Linked DNA regions of Xenopus tropicalis. The protein of the gene in region 1 purifies or fractionates together with the protein of each later gene. This does not show direct contact. Links are inferred from orthologs where the notes say so. Each region holds a gene or a part of one and is shown on either strand. Other genes may lie near its edges.

What was found. The genes of interacting proteins can lie anywhere in the genome.
Region 2: the proteins of cav1 (region 1) and trpc1 purify together in Homo sapiens (affinity purification with western blotting; 3 studies listed by BioGRID and IntAct, with this or other methods). This does not show direct contact. The link is inferred for Xenopus tropicalis from reciprocal best matches to the Homo sapiens genes CAV1 and TRPC1.

The regions. Positions count from the first base shown.
Region 1 is NC_030679.2:68,066,831-68,075,026, reverse strand, and holds part of cav1 (caveolin-1), read right to left. Parts: intron 5,025-8,196; coding exon 4,854-5,024; intron 1-4,853. UniProt on the Homo sapiens protein: May act as a scaffolding protein within caveolar membranes. Forms a stable heterooligomeric complex with CAV2 that targets to lipid rafts and drives caveolae formation. Mediates the recruitment of CAVIN proteins (CAVIN1/2/3/4) to the caveolae.
Region 2 is NC_030681.2:119,712,995-119,721,190, reverse strand, and holds part of trpc1 (short transient receptor potential channel 1), read right to left. Parts: intron 6,951-8,196; coding exon 6,796-6,950; intron 6,369-6,795; coding exon 6,267-6,368; intron 5,655-6,266; coding exon 5,452-5,654; intron 3,884-5,451; coding exon 3,752-3,883; intron 3,576-3,751; coding exon 3,380-3,575; intron 3,152-3,379; coding exon 2,815-3,151; intron 1-2,814. UniProt on the Homo sapiens protein: Forms a receptor-activated non-selective calcium permeant cation channel. Forms a heteromeric ion channel with TRPC4 or TRPC5 that has reduced calcium permeability compared to the homomeric TRPC4 or TRPC5 channel.

The sequences.
Region 1 (8,196 bases):
TTTCAGGGCCAAACACAACGGCCTATGGCAGTGTTTCTTAACTTCTTATAAAATCTGATTGCTTGATAAAATCTGGGAATCAGCTCCATAGAAAAGACTGGTTTAGAATTCATTATGTTGTCTCATTTTAAATTGCTTATTGCAGGTTTTTCTGATATATAGGGGATTATGGAGACCCGCCCTAAACAACACAGGGTCTATTTTGGTTGCTCTGACTCATATGTTATGAATTCCTGGCTTATAGAATGCCCAGAGCGAGCACCAGCACATTAAAAGGGGACATCTATGTGAAGAAAGAAACAGTTTAGAGGTAAATACAATTCTACCCTTTACACCAGGTCCCTGCAACAGCAATTCCCTGCAAATGAGAGATTGAATTCACAGCAGCACCAATGACCTGATGTCTCTAAGGCTAATGAAATGTTACTAAAGCCCATGACTGCTGCTCCTCAGAGCCACTGATTACAATATCATCCATAATTATGCACGCAGGACAACAGAAATGCTGGTGTGCATTTTTCAGCCAACATCTGCCCTGTGTGTACAGGCAGATGCCATTGTAGCTAAGGGCAGTAGGCGCCAGAAGTCGTAAGGTGATTTTTTGCAAGTGGTTTTCTGCAGTGGCAGAAAAAATGGCATGTGTGACATTAACCTTAAAGTACATCATTTGCTTCTTTCCTGTAGGTAAGCTTTTATGCTGCAACAGTCATTCTCTGCCATGTCAAAGGCATGATGTGGAATTTCACATTACAGCTGTAGAGTGGGAAGTTGACATAACTGCTTTCATGGCCCATTGTTCTAGGCAGAGGCATAATTACTTACATAGCAGTTATTTCCACTCAGTGACACACTTGTGTGACACTGGGAAAGAATGTAACAAAAATTTTATTTTCCAGTTGCAATTTGCCCGTGAAACCAAAGAAACATTTTACCATGTCAAGTTTTTAAAGTAATACATTGCCACCTGTGTACTGAGTGAAGTTACTGTTTTAAACAGATGATTGTCAAACAGTAATCCATTGTGCATATACTGAATAAGGCAACTAAATCCTTTCACCAAGAAAGAGGAGAGAGCAAAGCAGTGTGTGGGAAGGGATTCTAATAATAAAGATAACATAACTAGAGTAATTTCCCTGCAAGAATTGCATGGCCTTATGAAAAAGTGAGTGTCAGACAGCTACAAACGTATAGTGAAGGACACCCACATAATGTAAAAATGCTTGGCCCGGATATTTGATTTCATGATCTAACCTGCAACAAAGTAAGCAAAGCTAATGCCTAACTGACTTTAATATTACTGTCTAATTTCATAATAACTCAGAATGTAGTATACCCTGATGTAAACTTAATGCAATTTTTTTGTACTAAGATTAGGCTTGTGTGATGCAGTCTAACAAGGGAACATAAGCCTACTGATGCATTTTGGGACAGGATTCAGCTGTCATGGGGTCTGTGGTTCAGACACACCTTGACAGCGGTCCTGTGTGCATAGCAGAATTGTAGCAGATAAAATTATGGTAATGGAACATGAACATTTTAGGGAGGGAACAGTGGTGATCAATAGAGCGTTTTGGTGCCATGGTCCATCTCTCACCTCTCCTCATGCACAAGACAGGGCAATTTAATCAATAAAATTAGAAGCTAAGACAGGAGGATGGGGCATTTGGTCACTGCTGTTTTCCACTGAAGGGCAGTGTAAATTCTGTAGGGAGGGTTATGCTTACCACTGGGTTATTGCCGGATTTCCTCTGAGACAACAAAACAGCATTTTTGTAAAAATCCAGAGATAACATTTTCCAAGGTGACAAGTTCACATCATTGCATGAAAAATAAACCTGGAAGGTGTTTCCCTCCTAGCAGCATGGAATGTGATGCTTACAGAGCAGGTTCAATGCCAAGTTTATTGTATCTTTCATAGCTGATTTATGTGCATTTAGTTTCCATATACTTGTGACCAGATTCAGCACACTGACAGAGTGGGAGCGTCTTCATACTTTCCATGCAGCTGCAAATTGTGCTTGGAAGTCACACCATATTCTGCGTATGTTGTGTCAGTGCAATGTTTTCCACTCAACTGTCTCGGCAGGTGGTTTGCATTATTCATTTTACTAACTTCTTTGGATATCCCAAAGCAAATTCCTTGATCTCACAGGATAAAGTTTGCTGGCCTTTTCCATTGGGTATGCACCATGAGCTTCTAGCCACTGGAAAGTTTAGCAAAGCTGTTGAATGTGGTTTAAACTCATGCTCACATTTGTAATGAAGGCTCAAAGTTTGCCAAGGTGCAGAAACCCATATCCTGACAGTCAGGAAAGTTTAAATGATTTGACACTTTATGTGTGAAATCATGAAATATTTTGAGTCAAATCAATTTGTATAATTTCTACACTAAAACAACTGTTTAGTTTAAAGCTACCACTGACTCTTTTGGAGTTGGTAAATCATCCCCTAAGTCTTTTTTATGAGCTTACATAGATACTGCACAAAATAATTTAAATAATTAGAATGCTGATATGTATATGGATAATTATCTCTTTATCATTACAGTGAGGCCTGTTATAAATCATTAGAAATGCATGAGTTAAATGCACTCATTCTTCCTTTCTGGTTGTTACACTCTCTCTACTGAAAAAAGTAGAATGTGTCCCTTTTTGTCTGTATTCAACTTTGATCTCAGTCACGGACACATAAAGAAAAATGAGATCAATTAACACATGTTGCAGCTTTGTGGTACACAATAAACTGCAATGCAAATGCAGTATAAAATGCAGCAAATAGTTACATAGTTACATAGGGTTGAAAAAAGACCAGAGTCCATCAAGTTCAACCCATCCAAGTAAACCCAGCACACACAACCCACACCTACCAATCTATACACTCCCATACATAAACTATATATACAACCACTAATACTAACTGTAGATATTAGTATATGGCGAGGGCATAAATAATGGGCCCTGTAATTTTAGGGTGCGCCAAAAACCCCACTTTCTAAATTTTTGACTTGGCCCAGTTAGTCCATATTTTTAGTAGATTGTGGTGCTGTTAAATTCAGTCATATCCTGTTGCAATTACATCATGTTAGTATGACACTGAGCTGTTTATTTTAGGTCCTGAACCATATTTCCCTATATTTAATTACATCAAGCCGTTTGCAGATCTGCCACAAATACCACCCACCCAGGGTGCAAACATCCAAGAAACATAGAGTTTGTGCCATTTTTTGCACTTTGCACCATGCCTAGCACTAATAATTTGTTATAATTGTTAGTATATTTGTATTGACATGTAAGCATCAATGTATAAAGGTACATGAATAATTTACATGCACTAGGCCATTTATTTGCTGCAATTCTCACTAGCACCTTAGATCATGTCTGCTGCTGAACTATGAAGTTTTGGAAACCCCACCCATCTTTGGGCTGTAAAAGACATGCAGCTGTGGTATATTCTCCAGTTACCCCTAATATAAAAAATAGGTTAACTGAAGCATACACCAGGGCTCCTTATACAGCAGAGTGAACCTCAAAGAGCTAGCTTTACACTAGCAATGGTTTTAAATGAAATATGATACAGTTGTCAACCATGGTGGAACAGAACGACAGATCAATCACAAAATTGCACTCTACCCCAATCCCATCGTACGTATCTGTTGCCAACCATGCAAGTACAACTGTATTGTAGTAGCCCACACTGTATGTGTGCAAGTCATACTGTACAATTTACCAAAATGTTTGTGGGACAGCACAAGACTCACAACTGTGGGTACCAGATATTGAGTAGGAATGGTGGTGTTGGGATACTGCTATGTATGTATCTTTATAGAAGACATTAAAATTCTTCCCCATGGTCACAATTCTATATGGCCTATATACCTGGCAGTGATATGTTGGCATTATGAGAAGAGAGCTAGTTACATGAGGACATAGGTCTGTGAGTTCTTGGTCCCAGAGAATATTAAACAACTTGGAGGGCAAATATAATGAATCATACTAGGGATGGCGGTTTATTGGATTTCTGGAGTACAGTATGTGCAGCCCAGATTTAAGGGAACATTTTTCCTTAGCACCTGGTCATTTAAGGGAGGGGCCTCAAAATCCTCTATTATATCCAATAAGACTATGACAGAAAAAGGGTGGATTCACTTAAAGCCTTCCCAACTCACTTTCCAAAAACCACAAACATCTCTCTGACAACTTTCCAAACATTTTGTTCCCAAGCTCAGAGGGGAAAACAAATGAGCCAAGTGTAAAAATGTCACAACTTACATGGCCTGCTGCCTGTCATACAGGGGGACCTTTCCCTTTAACCCTTCAGCCCTAACTGCATGATGTGCCTGTGCTTTATCAGCACTGTGTATGTTATACCGACAGAGTGTGCTAAATCTCCTTGTGCTCCTATGATTTGGAATGGGATGATATGAATTGTGAATACTGGGATGCTATACTCTCACTATACACTGGTTTTGGGACTTGATCATTTCAGGTTCACTCTACGGGGGTCACAGTTACCCCCCTCCAGATAATAACAACGTTGAAGGAAGCTATATATTAACATTGCTATATCTGCTATAAAAACATAGTTACAAGAATATCCAAAAGACCAAATATAAGTTTACTTCAAATCTCACCCTAAATGACCTTTACATTTATTTTATTGAGTAAAGTATATAGTAGAGCAAATACGCCCCACTAGCATGACCAGCCCCAAAGTTTGGAAACCACTGGCCTAAAGTGCAGAACAAGTCTATAGTCCCCGAGATAAGGGACGTCTCCCTGGCACAAGTCAATGTAACAATATAACTTTCTCACATTAACCTAGTGTCAGTACATGGCACATAACTCCAGTCTTACCTTCACCACATCGTCATTCAGGTGCTTGGGGTCCCTGTTGACCAGATCGATCTCCTTAGTGTGCACGTCCCGGGCAGCTGTATCCATCAGGGTCTCACCTGCCATGGTCTTGTTATTGGGCTTGTAGATGTTGCCGTGCTCTCTGATAACCGGCGTGGTGTAGAGCACACCCTGGGGGAGCGGGACGGCCGAGAGCGAAGAAGAGAAAAGACAAGCGTTAGCGCAGTGCCACCATAGATGGGAATAGGGGGTGAGAGCTGTGGCACAGAGCTGCGCTTACTCCTCTCACACGGTGCTACTAAGGCTTGGCTTATAACTGGCTCCATGCACCACACCACACCCCTCTGTACCGCAGCACGGACTCTCTCCAGCAGGGGTCATCGGATCGGGAATATTCCTCATTCCTAGGGGATTCCGATCCCCCTCGGACCCCTCCCAGGCAGGCAACCCCCCTGCCACACCCCGAAAGTTTCCTTTCGCACCACACCCGAGGGCGCCCTCCATTCCTGCAGCCCTCACTGCCCTTTGTACAAAGCGGCTGCAATTCGACTGGACTACCAAAGGGCTCAGCGCTGTTGCGAACCAGTAAATGTAGCTCTGTAATCCTCCAGCTGTAATCAAACCATAACCCCCAAATCCCCTCACAGCCAGACCAGTAAATACAAAAACAAGGGTTTTAAGTACATTTAAATGTAATGTACTGTTGCACTGCACTGAAGAAAATATGTTTGTTTCAAAAGCTCTAGTGTATATGGTTATGGTACAGGTATGGGACCCGTTATCCAGAATGCTTGGGACCTGGGGTTTTCCAGATAAGGGGTCTTTCTGTAATTCGGATCTCCTACCTTAAGTCTGTTAAAAAAAAAATGATTTAAACATTAAATAAACCCAATAGGATTGTTTTGGCTCCAATATAGATTAATTATATCTTAGTTTGGAAACAAGTACAAGGTTCTGTTTTATTATTACAGAGAAAAAGGAAATCATTCTCAAAAATGTGAACTCTTTGTTTAAAATGGAGTTTATGGGAGATGGCCTTTCCGTAATTCTGAACTTTCTGGATAATGGGTTTCCGTATAAGAGGTCCGATACCTGTACTATGTATTATTCCATTGCAAATGATATTCAGATCCCATAAGGTTAATGGCACACTGCCTTCCTGCACTCTGTAGCACTATGGGAAGATGCTAAATCCTTAAAATGCTCTTCCCATTCACTTTAAATAGGGCTTGAGCATAGTGGGAAACAAAATGCTCAGAATCACAATGTTTGCCATTATTCACATATTGGACATTACATCCCCCCAGTGAAATAGATTGCTAAGTTTTTTTCCCTAGGCTGGTGCTCCTTTTAGGAAAGAACCTGTGGAAAAAATTGAGTGCCACACTGTCATCTCCTTCCTTGGCACTTGGCATTCTGCACATACGCAGTAGAGTAAAATCTCGGGTATGCACTATTGCGCTTGCATGAACAGGAATTAACACTGGGGATGCCTGGGGCCGCAGTAGAAAGTGGAGTAAAATGTTGATGCATCGCTCCAGTTTTTTCCGCAGGTTCCTAGCAGGAGCACTTAGTGATCTATTTTATATTAGCGACCTAACATTTTGGGTTGAATATTTCCTGACCCACACATCACTAGTCCACTGTAGACCTCACTCCTAATTTTAGTCAATAACAGGCATGCAGTCAGGACCCTTTCCTTTAAGTACCATTAAGAATGGTGACAAGCAGACAAGGCATTCTATACCCCTGCTTCTTTCTGATGGATGGTAGCCATGGACTAGTGATGTGAGTTTGGGCAGGCCAATCACTTTTTTTGCTTGTGGCAGGTGAATGGAGGGCCAAACTATTCCCACGCCCCCCTCCCCCCATGACATCATTATCTCTTTTGCCCACCTGCTGTTGCTCTTATATATGCTCTCCCCCCTCCCTGCTGACTTCAGTTATATCAGAGAGGGGCAGGCACGTGTATATAAAAAATTACAGCTGGCCGGATTGGGGCAGGTTCAGGTTTGAAGAGGGCAGGGTTAAGTCAGATGTGGTGGACACTTTTTCTGTAACGTCTGATGTGCTATTACAATTAGGGCTGTAGGGCCCATATCTAAATAACATAATATGATGAATAAAATGGTTTGGTATAGGCATGAGCAGATGAAATACTGTCAAACTGGAGAGACCATCTTCAACCAACAGGATTGCAAACTGGCCAGTTCAGATCCCCCCCCCACCTGACATATTTAGATGTTTAGGTAGTGTGGTCAAAATCGTCCAAACTCCCTGACCAGATCTGGTTATGTATAGCCAGCTTTACACACCTTTGGGATGAAACCATTTTGTCTACAAAACAGGATTAGCGATGCCAAGAAATATTTTACAAAAGTTGGACATCCTCAGGTTATACTTCTCTGTCACATCATTTATCTGGTTGCCAACTGGGAACCTCCCGTTTTCCTCTGCCACAAGCCAAGCACTGAACAATACAATTTTTGTCTTTTATATACAGTGTGTCCTACTTCTCCCTTGTTTTCTTCCAAAACACATTTTTCCTATAATTTATTCAGGTTAATAAAATTGATTCAGAAGAAGCAAAAGAAGTGCATAAAATGATAAGAAACAAAGTCATAATTATGTACAGTCAGCAGATGTGATAATTCTGCAGTGGGCAATGTAGGCCCTCCACAGACATATACTGACGGTGCTTGATCTTTGCACTTTGCAATTATTTTTTTTTTTAATTTTAAATTCTGTCTTTTACTATTTAGGCCTTTGTCTATTGATCTTTCATAGTGACGTTAAAAAACACTGATTGGACCTAGTAACCTAGATTATAGTTTAAATGGCAGATCATAAAAAGCACATTAAATGGAACTTTAGTTTAAAAATCAATTCATATAGTTAATTTTAAAGGTTCAGTAGCGATTTAATTCACTGAGGGATGCCTAACATTTTGACTCCTGCTCTTTTCAGAAATCCATTAAGCCATCTCCATGTCTACATAGCATTGCTAAAACCATCTCCTGACATGCCCCTAATAACCAGATCCTTAATTCCTGTTTAGGCTCTTAACACTGCCATGCAATATCCTCCTTCAAAATAGATGCCTTTATGCTTCCTTCATCCCCCAGTAACCTCTTTCTACATCTTTTGTGCTTTCTTGTCTATTGCTAGAATCAGACTCTTCTCTTCCATTCAGTGGCATCCTGAAGGCCCATTTTTCTTAAAGAGATACTGCAACCAGAAATGAAACCCTTTTTGCAACAACATTGTCTTTTTGTTGTCTTTGGCTTTTTTTCATTACACATCCAATCCTCATGTTCCTATATGAGGGGGCTGCCACATTTGT
Region 2 (8,196 bases), on another chromosome or scaffold:
CAATAATGTCCCGTTTAAGCACTGGAGACCAAAACTGGACAGTATAGTCTAGATGGGGCCTTACCAGCGCTCTGTAAAGGGGAAGAATAACCCCCTCCTCCCGTGAATCTATACCCCTTTAAATACCTCAGCTCAATACCCTGTTTGCCCTTGCAGCTGCTGCCTGGCATTGCTTGCTACAGCCAAGTTTATTATCTACAAGGACTCCAAGGTCCTTCTCCATTATGGATTTGCCTAGTGCAGTCCCATTAAGGGTATACGGGGCTTGCATATTTTTACATCCCAGGTGCATGACCTTACATTTATCCACATTAAATCTCATCTGCCACTTAGCTGCCCAGATTGCCAGTTTGTCAAGATCCTGCTGCAAGGATGGCAGAACTTTACTCCAAATAAAGAATTTTCCATTAACAACCACCCTCTGTACCCGATCCTGTAGCCAGTTTTCTATCCATGTGCAAACGACTTCACTAAGACCAACAGACCTTAATTTTACCAGAAAAGGTCTCTTGTTTCTTTAAAGGAGAAGGAAAGTCTAAGTCACTTGGGGGTGCTAAAATGTTAGGCACCCCCAAGTGACTTAAATCGCTTACCTTTTACCCCGGGCTGGTGCCCCTGTACGGAGAGAACAGCACCAGCCCGAGGTAGCAGCAATCGCTTCCTTCTTCCTGATCGCGTGTGTGCGCACATGCGCAGTAGAGTGAAAAGCGGAACTTTAACAGAGAAGTCTGCTTTTCACTCTACTGCACCTGTCCGGGACAATCAGCAGCAGTGCGATCAGGAAGGAGGAAGCGCATCGCTCCAGGTACTCCGGGCTGGTTCTGTTTTCTCCTAACAGGGGCACCAGCCCAGGGTACAAGGTAAGCGATTTAAGTCACTTGGGGGTGCCTAACATTTTGGCACCCCCAAGTGACTTAGACTTTCCTTGTCCTTTAAAGATGCTAAGATATCTTCATGGGTATAACAATAGAAACAGTATCCCCAGAGCACTGGAGTGGCTGAATGCAGAAGAACAGAAGGAATGGGAGGCGCCTAGTTTTAATATATTTGTGCAAAACAGTTCCTTGTCTCCACAATTTCAAAGAGGGTAAAATTCAATCTTTTTCATCTGTATAGTCAGCATCTCTAAATAATCTGTGCCTATAATTAGGGCTTTGCAAGGAAGAGATGGCATTATTCAGTGCTAGTTGCAGTACTTTTGTTCCTTATCTATTTTATTTAGTATAAAAACTGTAAGGAAGGGAATCACAAGCACGTCCAGAAGAAAGATTATGTTCTAGGCTATTTGCAAGATAGATGTGTGCTACTGCAGTTTCCAGATTTGTGTAAACAGTCTGCCTGGTTCCATAGCAAGCCGCAGTTTCGCAAACAGAGATCATTTAGAAGAACATGGGGTGAAATGAGTAAAGTTACTCAGCTTGGCAGTAAACAAATTTTGCTATGTAGGTGGCTGACCAAATCAAAACATGTATTGACTCCCAATGGGCTAATATTATTAATAATCAACAAAGCCCACTTGTCAAAGCAAAATTATCCTTTGACATATATGTCTTACCTGAGTCTCCCAGGAAAAATGAAATATATATACATATGTGTGTGTGCTCATAGTGGGTGTTGATTTTAAATAAATATAACTGTGTCTAGGACCAAAGTTAGAGAAGAAGGTAGGGAGGAGTTACACAGATCTCTAATGAACAACCTGCTTCCTCCAGTTGTTGCAATACAAAATGCAGCATCCTTGACAGACAGCCTATAAAATAAGTAATATTGTAACTGTTTTGTAGTGTAGAGAATCACAGCATGATGGTGGAACAGTAGCCTGATGTAAACATGCTGACTCATGCATATGGTATGTCTTCCATCACGCAGTCTGACATACACATGCTGATTGTAGCATATGATATATCTTACCGATATATCATAATTAGCTAGTTATACACTTGCTGACCCTAGCCTATGGGATGTGTTTTGTAAAGAGGCTGGATATGTTTAAATTCTTTTTTCTTGCTACTCTTGCTACTGGCAGGGACCCACCCAGCTACTATGTCCTGGACCTGTATCCATGTTACCTGAGTGGGTTAAGTGTTCCCCATTGGCCTAGGGATATACATGAGTGCTTCCTATTAGTTTGATAAAGCAATTGAAAAAAAAGTGGCTCTCCCACCTACCGAGCAGGGTGGATGAGTCTGGAGAGCCCTAGTAGGAGTGGGCCCTAAGGGAGGTAAGCCCTTAGTGAAGACGGAGATGCTCTACACTATTTGTGTGAAAATTTGTTCTGGGTTGGGAAATACAAGTAACACTGCCATTTAAACTTATTCCCAAGTACCATGAATACAATTATATTGATATTTTAGCTTTTGTGCGCAGTCATATTTAGAAATTAATTATTGTTGTCAGAAAGTCCTGCAAAGATAGCGGAACTATGGCTGGTTGCAAACCACCTTGGCTGGGAGAAACCACCTTCTTCAGGTGGCCATAAATGTAAAGATAAGCTTATTTGGCAACGCAGACAAACAAGTGGATCTTTTACTGTTATGCCTACCTTGAGGTGCATTCCTTGGCTAATTTGATTGTTACATCTACCTGAACAATATGTGGCTGACTTGTGTGGGGCCAAACGTAGGGCCCCACACAGGGGCCAATAAGCTGTTGACTTGGTCATTCTGCAATGCTCTGCTATGAGGCTATATATGTAATGTGAATTGCTGGTGGCACCTCTGCTCTACAGTAACCATAAACAACAAGTATTGTATTCAATATAGCAATAACCAGATTGGTTTGTCATGAGAAGTATTGCAACAACATGGAACTTACCTATCAGCCACATAATAAGAAGGAAATCGATTCTCTCTAACGCTGGCCCCATGGTGTTCTTCTTATCCTCATTGTAAACCAAAGAATATAGGTTAAGAAGCAGCAGGAAAGTGAAGTAAGAAGCTCCATGTATAATAAATTTCATAAACGGGGTATGAATTATACGTCCAACTTGGGATTTGGGAGCTAGCAAGTAGCACACGGAGAGGACTGGCCAAAAAATTCCAACGGTAAGGACAATCAATATCTTTTTGCAGGTGTGTTTCCGTCTGTACCCTGCCATTTGGCCAAACCAGACAGTATTCAGAAATTGCTGGCAGTTGGACTGGGATACAAACTGGAAAGTAAGAAGAAAGAAAAGAGAAACTAGTATTTGTAAAATAAGACTGCAGTTAAAGCGATGCAAACTTATGTAAAATGTAAATGTAAGCAAAGGGGTGGGTGCCATTTTGTTTCACACTTCTCTGTAATATTCGATTGAGGTAAAGTGTTGTACAGCACCTAATTTGTTAGTCATCTTTCTAGAAGTTGAGCTTTCTAGAATAGTGTCTTCCCAGACTCCTACCTCCTTTTGATTGTACTTGATAGCGAGTTTCAATCGGCTCAAGTTCATGCGCTCCTCAAGCAGCCCTCTCTTGTCTACAGGCTCATCACTCGATTGGTGGTTTAGGATGACTTCCAGCTCTCGAGAATTCCGGGCCTGGGCCAACAAGTCTTTAGCAAATGTCTTACACTTTTGAGCAAGTTCTTCATAATCGTTTCTGAAGTCAACATGTTGTGATAAAAAACAAAAAGGTCAGATGAAAGGAACCTACTATTTGGTGTTTCAGTTTGACTGCATGACAGAAAAGTGCTGCTCCTTTTAGAAATCACCATGAAATATTTTAGAAAATAATTATTTATATAGGTCAAATATTTGTGTGATGGTTATTCTCACCGAAATTCCACTTCTACAAGGCTAAGCTCTTTTAAATCTGCACTGAGTTCAAAGGCCCGCAGAATTGGATCCTCCTCAGTCAGCATAATTAGAGCTGGACTGGCCAGGCATCGATAGATATCAAGTCGAAACCTGTAATAAAATACAAGCATTGTTACCGGTACTACTGTGAAATATCTGACCTCCTAGAATGAATAAAGCTGCGGACCCTTTGTGAAATGCTTTTTTGTAGGTGCAATAAATCCTAGATTCTGCAAAGAATCTGGTGCACAACACAAACACAACTTAGGTAAATATATAATCTTGACCGTCTCTTGTAGATGCAGCTGCCAGGATACTTCAAATTATGGCTCAAGAGCAGCTGGAAATGGACTGCCTAAAACAGTAAAAACATTGCCTTAGGGCAATGGCACTCAGGTAATTCAGGGCATTGTGTCGACTCACCTGGGGATTTTCTAGTTAATCAGAAGGTGACATAATCCTTGGAATTACTACATAGTAATTTCAGGGGCAATTGCCTTGACCCAATGGTCAGCTGATTGCCCTGTAGGTTCAGATGATTGCCATTGAAATAAATGAGGAGGCAATTTTGGGTCTTTGGCCTCTTAGCTGTTATTGCTCAGGCAAACTTTAATCATTTTCCCAAGACCCTGGGCACATTTGCCATTGACCTTGAATGTAAAGCCCTTGTCAAATGTATATATTTATGGACAGGTTTTATATCTGAAGCTCAATTAAGATTATGTGATGCTGTAAGTGTGAATACACAGAGCCATTAACAGTGGGAACCTGAAATAAAATCATGCAACATAAATACATATTTTTTTAATAAAATACACCACAGATAGCAGTTCTTATGCACAGTGTGGTCCTTCCTAATTCTAAATGACATTACTTTTTATTCTATATCGGGCAGCTCTGTACACTGCCCATTCAGACACACTTTGGGTTATAGAATAACAGGGGTCAGACTTTCCTGGTCTTGTATGCTATAGCAACCAATCAGCAGTTAGTAATTACTGGTCTGGTGTAAGGCAAACATGCTGACTATTTACTAGATCTGCTCAAAAGTTTTATTCATACACAAATCCCTCTGAATACCTACTCAAGGGTCAAAATTGATGAAAAAATGCAGTCCTAAAAGTGTTACAAATAGTACAACGTATTCACAATAGGTATTTGTTGTTGTAATGCCCCCAATGTTTTAAATATTTGTTGTTATTGTGCAGGAAAATGTTGTTATTCTGGGAAATAAAATGCTCCCCAAATTCTTCTCTATGTTGACTTGACCTGCAGCACTTATATGCACAAATCATTGTACTTACTTTAACAAAGTGCAACAATATTAAGTATTTTATGTACTAAATCATTCTTGTACTGTGTGTGAATACAAACATTTTTCCATGCTCCATAAAAATAAAGTGTACAGAAGACAAAAGCTTCCTGGGGGGTGTAGCATCTGGGCCACAGCTGAGCTTAGAAAGCTTGCATGGCTCCCACACTACGTGCCCCCCTGGTTGCCTGTTGGGCATTGCTTGTGTATACAGTCAGCAGTAAAGTATTTGACACATGAGTATCAAAGCCTTCCAGCTGCTGCAAATTCAGCCACCAATCCTAAACTGGATATTTATTTATAATTCTTTCTAAATCTTGATCAAAACAGATATTTTGCATTGTCAGCTGAGTTTGATAATCCTAACCTGGAGTGTCTCAAACTGTCCTTCTTGTTCTTGGCTGTACAAAGGGTGCACTCACAGCCCACAGCATGAGGCTTTGGGAGAGAGACATCCTGTTTCAGAAGCATGGTAAGAATCTCGTAGTTATTCCGGTGAGCAGCCAGGATTACAGGAGCCACATCCATGGTGGTGGAATATTCTGGATTTTGAATTCGCTCCATAAGTTTCTGCAATATAGGGCAAATGTGTCAATCAGACCAGAATCTATATAATGGGTGAGTTTTCCCTGCAAAGCTTGAACTTGCTTCCCATTATGATGCCTACTGTTTTTTTTATAGCTACAATACAACAGAGACTGACCTGACTTTGATATATTGATTATTGCACTGTCCCACTGGATATGTTCCCCTTAGCAGACTTAGAATGTGCTGTGGCTTATGGCAAAGGGAATCAGGCACTGATCGTTTTAATTGTGAGACTCAATTTGTTGTCACATTTTAGTACTGTTTACCTTTTTTTAATTTTATGAAAACCTACCAGCACCTGGCTAAAAAAGGCAATCTAATTGGTTGCTATGTGTTACTGTCCATGGGCAAATTTGCCCAGTGTTGATAAATGAGCCCCAGTCTGTCTTTTATTACATAACCCCCAAAGAGTAGTGTTCTGTACACCCACATCTACATTGCTCATACTATTTTTATATGGCAATAATTACAACATTTACAAAAGAAATCAGAAAATATTCCTAGTCTTATATGAACCATTATTAAATCTAGTCCATCTTATTTTGCTGAAGTGTCCAGAAAGTAAAATGCAAACCTGCATGGCATATGACTTACTACAATAGTTGGTCTTGTTCTCCATTTTGGTTGATGATTTAACAAGATATCCACAGCTCCCACCACCTCAGAGTCAATTGCCACAAGGAGGGCATCAGTAGACTGATAAAACACAATAAACACTCTATAAATAAGATATAAAATCTAAATTTTAGGCAAGATAGTTGATGAAAAAAGAGAATGTGTAAAAAAATATGCAGATGTTTGTTGTAATTATATATATACACCATCTGGATACTTTTGGCTATGTTGTATACTGTATGTACCTCTGTCTAATTTTACTGTACTCACTTACAAGTAATAAATACATTAAAGTTATTATTTGAATAATCATGAGGACAGCCAAGCTTAGTATGGGCTCTGCATATCTATGGCTTTAACGAGAACATTTTTATATTATTTTTTTCAAAACAGTTTAGAGTTCTCGGTGTATCAATTTGGACAGCAGCAGAATATCTAGATATGCTTAGTTTCCTGCTGTTGCACGGCCAGTTGGAAAGAGTAGGAGGTACAGATGTTACTTATTTACCTGGCAACCATAATTGAGGAGAAGCTGCAGGATATCCAAGTTCTCATTTTCAATGGAAATAGTGATGGCATTTCTCCCTAGTACATCCACTGAATTGATGTTCAGTTCTTCTGAGCTGTTTTCTTCCAAAAGCTTTTTCACCATATAGTAATCACCTGCAGTACAGAGTTAGCCATTAGCGCCTTATTGGTTAATAATTCTTAATAAGACTAATGCAGCCTCAGAACGTTAGTATGGACAAGAACCTGGCCGATTATGTCCTGGTTTGTATACACAATGAAATTGACCTTGTACTCAGCTCAAGCTGCGGTCTGGGTAGAATCATATAATATGTAATGAGTATGCACAGAGGTCCACCACTTCTTTTAAGGAGACTAAATATGGATTCTAAAGACAATACACGCTGATGGCTTTTCTTTCAGAATAAAACTAATTTATTACATTAGTGTGGAGATGCTCTGTAACCAATGATGTATCCAAGCATACATTCAGCCAGGTACAGGGAGCTACTTGCCATTGAAAGCAGAATGGGAAATACCACAAATAACTACAGTTTTCTTTCTTTTTTGTACTTAATACAGGGGGATATCTATGACTGACTTTCATTCATGAGTGCTACTGCAGTGGCAAGTTCTATATTGGGTGCAAGTCATTGTATCTCTTACCTCAATGCAGCATTTTTTTCCCACAGTTCCAGTGTAACTGAACCCACAAGGTGGAGGTGCAATTACGGCAATGTGTTAAAATAAATGCAACTGCGAATTGCTGTGAATCTTTGGTATGTCTTTGTTTCCAGTGCTCGCTGTCAAAATTACATCTGTGCCCAATTGTTTAGGTGCAAGTAAGATGCGTCAGTTGACACAGACTGCTGTGAGGACTGTGCCAACTACAAAAAAATATATCTCCTTGGCTGCTTAACCATGCCCTATGCTGACAGGAGGGCTTTGGGAGGAGGTAAGGAGGATTACAACAGGGCTCATTGATGAACAGGAGCCAAGGTGTCATGCTATGGGCCTACAATGCACCTTGCCCTTGTGCAGCACTACCTGAGCGCAACTCTTTGTGCCTCCACTAGAAAAGTGGTGTAACAAATACATGTTACTTAGAAGGCAGGTACGGAGTACCTGTGTGCTGATTCAGAGCCCTAAAATATTGCCTGCTAATGATGGGCATTAAATAAAGGGCCCCTTTGCACCCAGCTCTGGATGTGCCAGCAAAGGTGCAAACATGGCTCTCTGTAGCCAATGGATTCTTAAAAGAGACCAAATATCTGTAAGACCAGGCATAATCTTTTCTGAAGTAAGAAAAGACTTTAAAATTTAACTATATGTATGTTTTTCGGTTATTCTATTAGCTAAATACAAATGAAACAAAAAGCAAATGCTAGTAAACATTGCACAT